2 linked regions of the Caenorhabditis elegans genome follow. The protein of the gene in region 1 purifies or fractionates together with the protein of each later gene. This does not show direct contact. Each region holds a gene or a part of one and is shown on either strand. Other genes may lie near its edges. The genes, in order: ttr-52 and nrf-5.

What was found.
Region 2: the proteins of ttr-52 (region 1) and nrf-5 purify together in Caenorhabditis elegans (affinity purification with western blotting, with the first as the bait; one study listed by BioGRID). This does not show direct contact.

Annotation. Positions count from the first base shown.
Region 1 is NC_003281.10:13,402,587-13,406,389, reverse strand, and holds ttr-52 (Transthyretin-like protein 52), read right to left. Parts: upstream 1,673-3,803; 5' UTR 1,630-1,672; coding exon 1,476-1,629; intron 1,407-1,475; coding exon 1,234-1,406; intron 826-1,233; coding exon 745-825; 3' UTR 607-744; downstream 1-606. Other genes in the region: mig-18 (Abnormal cell migration protein 18), read right to left, coding at 2,084-2,226, 2,271-2,348, 2,532-2,847, 2,938-3,087; srlf-10 (SXP/RAL-2 family protein Ani s 5-like cation-binding domain-containing protein), read right to left, coding at 3,354-3,440, 3,485-3,670, 3,715-3,803.
Region 2 is NC_003283.11:13,826,135-13,831,531, reverse strand, and holds nrf-5 (Nose resistant to fluoxetine protein 5), read right to left. Parts: upstream 3,266-5,397; 5' UTR 3,264-3,265; coding exon 3,125-3,263; intron 2,719-3,124; coding exon 2,417-2,718; intron 2,371-2,416; coding exon 2,278-2,370; intron 2,230-2,277; coding exon 1,894-2,229; intron 1,702-1,893; coding exon 1,514-1,701; intron 1,468-1,513; coding exon 1,375-1,467; intron 1,333-1,374; coding exon 1,203-1,332; intron 1,157-1,202; coding exon 1,082-1,156; intron 1,007-1,081; coding exon 707-1,006; 3' UTR 625-706; downstream 1-624. UniProt on the Caenorhabditis elegans protein: Plays a role in the uptake of a range of molecules including phosphatidylserine, lipids and xenobiotic compounds from the intestine to surrounding tissues. Possesses lipid transfer activity. Mediates transport of lipids from intestine to reproductive tract.

The sequences.
Region 1 (3,803 bases):
ACATTTATGGTTTTTTTAAATTTGATACTTTTCAGTAATTTTTTCAGCCAAAAAGTGGAAAAATCTATAAATCATCAATTTTTAGGTTTTTTTTGGAGTTTCAGCCAATGTCTTCGAGTTACCAATTTTACGGGTTACCAATTTCAGAAGATGTTTCAAATGGCACATCAAAAATCCTCACTGTTTCTAATTGGGAAAATTAAATTGAAAAAATGTCTAAACTACAATAAAATCGATTAAATCATAGAAGCTCATTTGCAGAAATTGAAAAAAAAGTTGAACAAATTGGGACTTTTAGTTTGGAAAATCTCAAATCAAAAAGTTGGAAAAATTCAAAATCCGGTAAATTACAAACCTATAATGCTCCGGGTGTTGCTCCGTTGATGCTGGAATGAGCTTCAACTCGTAAGCTGCCTTTCTCTCCCAAAGGTCGCGCCTCCTTCATGGTAGAAGCTAGTATTTCACGCAGAGGGAGCATCAATGTGCAAAAGCTCATTGGAACCGGTTACCCATTCCGCGTGGTGTGTGCCGCGTACATATATCTTCCGCGCTGTTACTACTGTCAAAACTGTGGAGAGTGGGAGGCGGAAAAAAAAGAAAATGAAGAGAATATTTGACTTTTATTATACCAGATTTGAGAGACATAGATGAAAAGGAGGTCGGAAGTATATCGAGACAGAAATCATGAACAGTTTTATGCAAACATTGACTTTACGGCAATCATTTTATTTGCAGTTGAGTTCTTTAGTAGTCTTCAAGGTATCGATCTAGATAAACATTACCAAGACGGACAATTGATGGTAGGAACAGGGGTATTACGTCAATCTGAAATTTGTGAGCAAAGTTTCAGCAAAAAAGTTTGGCTTTCTGATCTATAAGAAACCTTTCATAAGGCATATAAACATGAGCCTGCCTGCCTTATGCCTATAAAAATATCTATTGGCAAAGTAGATATTAAATTTTATTTTTCAATCCTACTTTTGATCTCCAAATATTCATTCTTTAAAAAACTGAAAAAAAATTTTACAGGATTGTATTTTTCAATTTTTTTAGTCGGTTTCCATGTTTTTTCCATGTTATTTAATTGCACTTACACTGATATTTTTCATAGTTCTTGGTATAAAAAATTTGTTATTTTTTCAGAATTTCCAAAAAATTCAAAATCAAAAAATAAAATTGCCGAAAATTTGCTAGTTTTTAAAAACTTGCATTCTCCAGAACCTTCAGATATACCTGTATAGGATTTGTAGCATTACTATCACGATGTGGGCAATTGTGTTGAATATATAAATATGGATCAGGTGTATTAATTGGACCAAAGTCACTTGCACAACCAGTCACTTGGAAATTCCCGTTACGGTCGCTCCATGTTCGACCCATCAAGTCATCCGATTCTAGAGGTAATGCTGGAAATGTTTTAATTTTTCAAGATTAAACAAATTTGATAGTAAAAATTAATATTACAAAGTACTTACAATCTTCATCCCACAAATCGATATGCACTTTTTTAACAGCTTCAGGATCTGTTGGGCATTTTAAGACTCCAGTTGCCATAAGACAACTAGTTTTTGATAAAACGTTCCCTGAATAAATGAAAAAAGGCAGGAAGTAAATCAAAAATCTCGACATATGTTTTGAAAGTCTTTTGTTGGAGAATATTGGAGTATAAGGAATGCGTGGGGGTTGAAGAGACTCCCCTGGGGGAACATCATGGACTCCTATCTTATCGATCATGTTCATATTTATTTGCTCATTGGTGTCATCGTGTCAGCAAACACTCAAGTGCATTCTTCTCAGTTGTGGAGTAGATATTTATGTGTTACCGTTAATTTAATGTGGATATTTGGATCTAATGGTTTCACATCTCACTTGTATGTACATGACTAGGTCATTTTTCAATTACAAATTTGAGCTCTGAAGATCTATAAATGTCAACTACTATTTATTTTTTTAGCTATAATTATCAAAGGTCAAACTTTTTTTAAAGAAAAAATAATGTCGATCTGCCGACCTGATAAATCGTAAATTACTGACAGATCATTATCATATTATTCCAAAACATTTTTAATTGAAACAATAAAGTTTAATTTATTTTTCCGCACGTCTTCACTTGTCCGTCTTCTTGAATCCAAGCCGTTCCAGCCCAAATAGCCTTTTTCTTGAGTTCAGGCGGAAAGCATCTTTGAATATGAACTCCATCATCTCCACAACGATACTCAATGTCACCTAAATGTATTTTAAACAAATCTTGATAAAAAAACAAATAATACCTTCGCGCCAAACTGCATATTTTTTAATGTGCAATTCTTCATCATTTACATCGTCTTTCTCTGTTCCGTTGAAGCAACCTGAAAATGTAACTTTTGATTTAGCACTTGCTTTGTCGGTTTTTTAGAAAAAAACTTGCTAGAAAAAACTTACAATTTTGTTTGTTCCGTTCTAAAAAAAACTTTTCAATACTCCAACAAAATCCCATAAGAGTTAAGTTGGAATACGATAAGAGTTAGAAAATAAATCGAAAAAAAACTTGCCTTTCGGCTCAATCCTTGCCTGTAATTGATTTGCCTGAATCCTGCAATACTTCAAACTTTTGTTTCCAATCACAAAGAATCCACTCTTGACAATATCTCCATTTGCATCAACACATCCTTTAAATCGTCTTGAAATACAACAAATTGCGAATCTATCCTTGAAAATATCATCGGAAAAATCGGCGAATGTGGGGCAAGTGTTTGTGTTCAGATTATCCGTAACTTCACGTGCACACATGTATTCATATCCATTTTCCACATAGCTTTTGGAGCCGACTTCTAGTAAATGACCACTGTCGGTTACACATTTTAGAGTCTGAAGTTTTATAAATTAAAATACACATCGAAACATTTTGGTTCACTAAAATTCTAATCCAAAAATATAACCAATACTTATTAAATTAACCTGAATATTTCCATCTCGACAAGTGACCAAAAAATGATTATTTCGGATCCACTTGTCTCCATTTGTATAAATGACTCCATTATCATCACATTGTGAGATAACATATGAATAGACAGTACACAAAACCAAGAGACGCAGAGTAAAGGTCATTGGAATGAGAAGTGGTGTGGAGCAAAGTGAAGAACGATGGAATAGTGACCCAGGTTAAAGAAAATGTGTAAAGAGGACATGACTGAAGGGCTCGAGGGGAGAAACGTGACAAGTGATGATATCAAGTATAAATCAGTGTTTAATTACTTGGAAAACTATTATGTTGATTAATATTGAAAAGTTATTTAAAATTGATGAATGTTCGATATATTTATTTACAAAATAATTATTTATACAATATACATGGCAAGAAAGAAAAGTGAGTATTAAACATTAATTGGAGTTGGTGGAAGTTCTGGAAGTGCCCCTCCGTTGAGGAGTTGAGTGATAATGAAGATAATTGTATTGAGTTCCTGTAATATTTTGAATGTACTAACGAAATAAAATTCAGACATACAATTTTATTTGTTCCTTTCAATTGATTGATAGCATTGTTCTTCTCAATAGATGTTAGATTTTTGTCATCCACGATTTTAGACAATTTTCCTAAAATATCTGGAAGACTTTGAAGAATATCGGCAACTTCATTGAGCAACTGTTTGATAAGGGTGAAGATTGTTGAAATAAGATTGTTAAGCTCATCCTGAATACATAGTTAAATATAAATCAAAGTGAAGAATAACTCACTCCAAGACCAGGTACAAGACCGTTAAGTTTGGATATAACTTCATCAACTCCAAGATTATCCGCATTTGAGAGAATTTCTTGTACTCTAG
Region 2 (5,397 bases), on another chromosome or scaffold:
TAAAAAAATGAAGCAAAAATTAAATTTTAAAGAAGATTTGCGTCTATTAGATTTGCGTTTATAAATCTATTTTGATAAGATTTCAAATTAAAGGAAAGTTGGACGAAGTAACAAAGATGTTTTAAAACACAGATGGTAGTACATATATGTAAAAAGGAACAAAACATACTGACATTAACCACTTGGAACGTGAGGGGTTTCCAATTTCCTGGCAGCTATTATTTTTCTGACTATTCTAGAAAATATGTAAAAATGATATTCAATCTAATATGTACATCACAAAAAACTATATTACCTTGTGTCAAATTGAAGATTCATGAATTTCAAGGAAAAAAAAAGAGAAATACATTGCCGTGTGTCCTCAAATAATATTCCACTTCTTTACTTTGTTTGAAAAGGTTAGATCTCAGTCCATTTGAAGAATTTCAATAAATAATCAACAAAAAATCGATAGAAAAATAAATGGAAAAGATTTTTATACTTGGCAACTTTTGAATAATACAAACGACACAAGAGATATGAACTGTCAAAGTTTAAAAATGCGGTGTAATAACAATAGAGGAAATAAGTTGTTCAATCTAAAATGTTGGCTTATTTTTTCCATTAACCAATACACGTTAACAGTATAAAAACTTTATTCCCATGCTCCAACAATATTTCAGACTATTACTTCGTTTTCAAAAATTAAAACAGACTTTTCAAAATATTAGATAATCACGTATTTCGGCAAGTTTGGATTTATCTTGCTCTTCGCATCCAAATATTTTTTGAACTTCGCCAAGAATAGTGGCAAATCAAATGAGAAGTCAGTGTTGAGGAGTACAGCATGATCAACGAAGTCCAATTCGGTATGCTCTAGTTCGACTCCGCAGAATATTGGCAGTTTGACTCCACGACGGTTCATCGCAAAGCGCAGACGCTTTTTGACTTGAGGCCAGAGTACACGTGGGACCACAAATGAGAAGAGCTTTTCGATTGGAGCAGCGAGTGGTCCGCCAAGTCCAAGCTGAAATTTTTGTTCGACTTTCAGATTTATACAGGAAAAATTCTTTAGAATTAGTTTTTCTTGAATACAACTTACATCAAAAACGTTGACATCCACATTAGTCAGAGAAACATCTCCAAAAATACGCGAATGCCGGACAGTTGGCTTCAGCTGTAATTTTTCAGATTTTCGTAGCTGTTCATTAATTGTAGCCTACCGTGACGTGCAACTTTGTGTTAGCATGAAGAACATCATGGAGTTGTTCTCGTCCATGGAACATGATTGAGACATTTCCAGACAATTGAACTCGTGCTCCAAGATGAGCATCGATTTGGAGAATCGGTTGTCTGAAACTTTCAGTTTGTTAGAAATTACAAGCAGACACTTACTCAGTAAGATTAGCGGAAACTTCCACGTAGCATTTTGAGCACACCGCCTTTGAAAGTTTTTGCAGTATTTTTGGAAGTGAACTTGGGGTGTATCTGAATAATTTTCAACATACATTTGGGCTCATCATGAGCAACTTACCTATGTTTGAAATTTCCCAAGTCATACATGTAAATATGATGAAACAGTGTATTGGGGATGTACTCGGAGAGAAGAATTCCAACCATTTTCTTATCAAGCCGGGTCTTGTTCAAAATTTGAAGCTGCTGAGCTGAGTCGGCCTTCCAGCCGTTGAAGAGAATTCCTCCATCAAGGCCAATAATCATATCCTGAAATTTAAAGGTTTATGAGACACTTAATTATAAACTCTGCAGATAAGGTTGAGCGTTTTATTCGGATTCGAAAGAGTGCCGACGTCATCAGATGTGACAAAATGTGGGACATTTCAGCTCAAAACTAAACAAAAAAACAAATTTTTCTTTTGGACGACAATTTTTGTGATAGCCATGCTAGTGACTAACCTCATCTGTAAATGTTGGTGGATGATTAACGCTCAAATCAACTCCCCAATAAGATTTTTGAGTTTCCTCGGTTGTCAACGTTGAGTTATCATCATCCGGTGTTGGAGCAACCGTTGTCTCCACATTTCCCTCTTCTTGCTCCGAATCTTCAAATCCATTAACTGTGTCAACTTGGCACAATGATGCTCCTAACTCGGCGACACTGAAACCATTTGGATCTCCTGCTTCTGGCTTCTGATAGTTTGGGCTCTCAGGTGGAATTGGTTTCTGTGCCATCACGAATGTGAGAGCTTCAACAGCGGTTGTGCAGACAGCATCACGGAGAGCAGAGACAATCTGAAAAATTAACAGATTGTTTCCAAATTTTAAAAAAGTTTCGATTACCTGTCCTTTAATTTCCGATTGAAGTGCTGACAAACTTGATCCAGGTGGAAACACCAGTGAAAGTTCGGAATGAGTTACGTTGCAAACGGAAGCCTGAAACATTTTAATTTAAAAATTCAAAGAATCCATGATAGCTCACATTAACAGTAGTAGTTCCATTATAATCAAAATGAAGTTCCGATTCGATAGACAGTTCGCGGAGCTCTGCAGTGAAATCTCCTTCATATGACCACACAAATACACTGATCTCAGCATAAGCACTTGCACGGAAGGAAGCCAATGATATATTGTAGGCAACACCTTTTCCATCAATGAATTTTGCGCTGAGGTTCGGCTTTGCAACGTTTGATATATGAAGCTTTGTGATTTTAGCCATATCAGTCACAATATCGGGAGGGCTCAAGTTATTGAGAATTGCTGGGAGAGCATCGGATGCCAAATCTGAATTGACATTTATAGATTGAAGGCAATTAAGGTTATATTTTCCTTAAGGTCAAGCACATTTTCAAATTTTAATAGCCAAAATTCATATTTTTAAAATTTACAAAACTGAATCGAAAATCTAACTCAAAAGATCTCAAATGATTCATATCCGAATACTTCTACAAAGTAAGAAAAGCATAAATTAACGTGCACGGAAACTAAAACTTTTTGGCAGGCATTTTTGGAATTTTCAACAATTGTTGATTTTATAAATCTAAACATACATATGTATATTGATAGTTGATTAGAAAAAACTGCGACAAACAATATACATGTAAGCTTCAAACTTCTCAAAACTTCCTTTGTTTGCCATGCAACTCAGATTAGGATTTTTAAAGTTTTTACCAATCACAAATAAATTTACCTGCGACATAATCCACTGCTTTTTGATTTAATCGAACGTAGATTCCTGCTGGTTTATGTGTAATTTCCGAACTGTCAGCAGAATTTCCTACTTGAATTATTGAAACAAGCAGGAAAAATATGTGAAAATTCCGCGACATTTCTGCAAAATAAAAATCAGGAAAATTGAATATCAAGCTCTCGTGAATCAAGAAAAAAAACGAATTGGGACGTTTCTTTAAATCAAAGTGCTCCTCGTTCACAAGACGAAATATCATAGATTGTTGAGAGAGTTCAGACCAGCTGTCGGATGTATTTTTATGATTAATCAGACTTGAAGCGTGACCCTTCTGGCGGTGGATGAGCAGTGTAAAGTGACATCGATTTGTTGAGGTTTGATTGTGGGAAGACTGATATTGGCGAATGAGGACTCATCTTATAAAAACGAAATAATAAAAAAGCCAAAGTTAGATTTTTGCATCCAGAGTTTTTCTAAAAACTGTATCTTTATGTCAAAGTCTCCCCGTAGCCATGTTTCAGAAATTTCACCGAAACCTGGGTATTTTTTAAATGTAATCCTGTTCTCTGAAATGTCACTGAACTAAAGTTCGCACCAGCTCCATTTAAAAAAAATCCAATTTTGCTCAACAATTCACGAAGTGTGTGATTTATCCTACCTTTCAAAATATTCTGTTTTTTTACTCATCATTTCCTAGTGGGCATATTTCCATTGTGAGTACCTTAATGGATTGAAAGATGTTGTCTATAAGAGAAATAAATCGTACCCTACTAAAGACAGATGTGCGCGCGCTACAATGGGGCATTGAATCGACGTCATCAACCAGAGAGCACAAAAGAGACCTGTTGCAGAGACTATTGGCAGAATGTAAACGACGTCGGTCGATATGCTATTGCAATTTTTCATTTAGTCCGTATTGTTGTTTATTGCAGTTTGCATTAATCTAGAGAAACCATTCATTGGTAAAATTTTGTCAACTACACAATTTCCTTTTTTTTGATTTTACATTATCATATGCTTTATTAGTCCAGTTTATTTTGTTTGTTTTACAGTTTTGTTGGGGAGTTTAGCACTAAATTTATCTTGAGTCTGTGATCTTGTAAAATAAAAACTATATGGGTTAGCTTCAGCCTAAGTTGATTTCTCCGGGTGTAGGTGCCAAAAAATGTTTTATTAAAACGAAATTTAAACAACATTTAATCAAACTTTATTATAAGGTTCATAATTTCTCCAAAGCATTGAGCAAGTTGAAAGAAAAATAATTACCTTTTCAGCGTCTTTTTTTGCTTCGCGAGCCAATGGTGCATCAGTATTGTATGATCAGTTATACGTTTTTTTTTCAGAATGAATCCTATCGTCTCAACGTTTCCTTTAGGAAAACTGCCAAAAAATTGTGGAATCAAGGTACTTCTACATATGGATATGAAGTGTTGGTGAGTTTTTCTTCCGTCTGAAAAGTTTATTTATGCATTTTATGGTTAACTTTTACAGTCTATATCTCAGTTGTTTTAGGTTTTATCAAAAACTGTCAACTGACAAGAAATGTTCAAAATATTTTTCTATATTTTGTTATTAAATAGTTGTAATCAAACTTATGACAACCGATATATAATCCCACAAGTCTAATGAAAAAATACAAACTATAAAATTACAAATGCGGTTCGGAACTAGTTTGGTATTAAATTCCGCAGTTTTTGAAACATATATCTCTCGAAATATTTGCTCTGGTATTTCCTAACAAATAAATTAATATTACAAATATTCTTTGCAATCCATTATGTTCAACATGTGGTATTATTTTGCAGGATCTCGTACTCGTTCATCAGCAGGAAGACCAAGAACATCATTAAAGGTTTAATGATAAAAACACACCGTTTCAAACTTAGAACTGGCAGAAACTTTTTTGCGCTTTTCATTAATTTCGGTCATTTCGTTATTCATGTAACGATTTTACGGAGAGAAATGCATTAAGATTTTATCGACTTCAATCTGAATGCGCTACAAAAACTAACAGTGACATTGTTGGACTTCGATGGAAATGGATATCACAAGACTTTTCCGGAACCAACGGTCTCCAGAGAAATGACACTGAGAAATTTGACTGAACACTTTCTTGATATTCTATCCATAAAAAATATTGATGTTCATCTTCAAGCGACTGGGCGCTTTCAGATTGACTATCAGTGTCTTACTCCAAACTTGAATGGAATTGAAATCAGAAATCTTATTTTAAGATTTTCGGCAATGAAGCAAATCGCTGAACAGTCAGAAGCCCT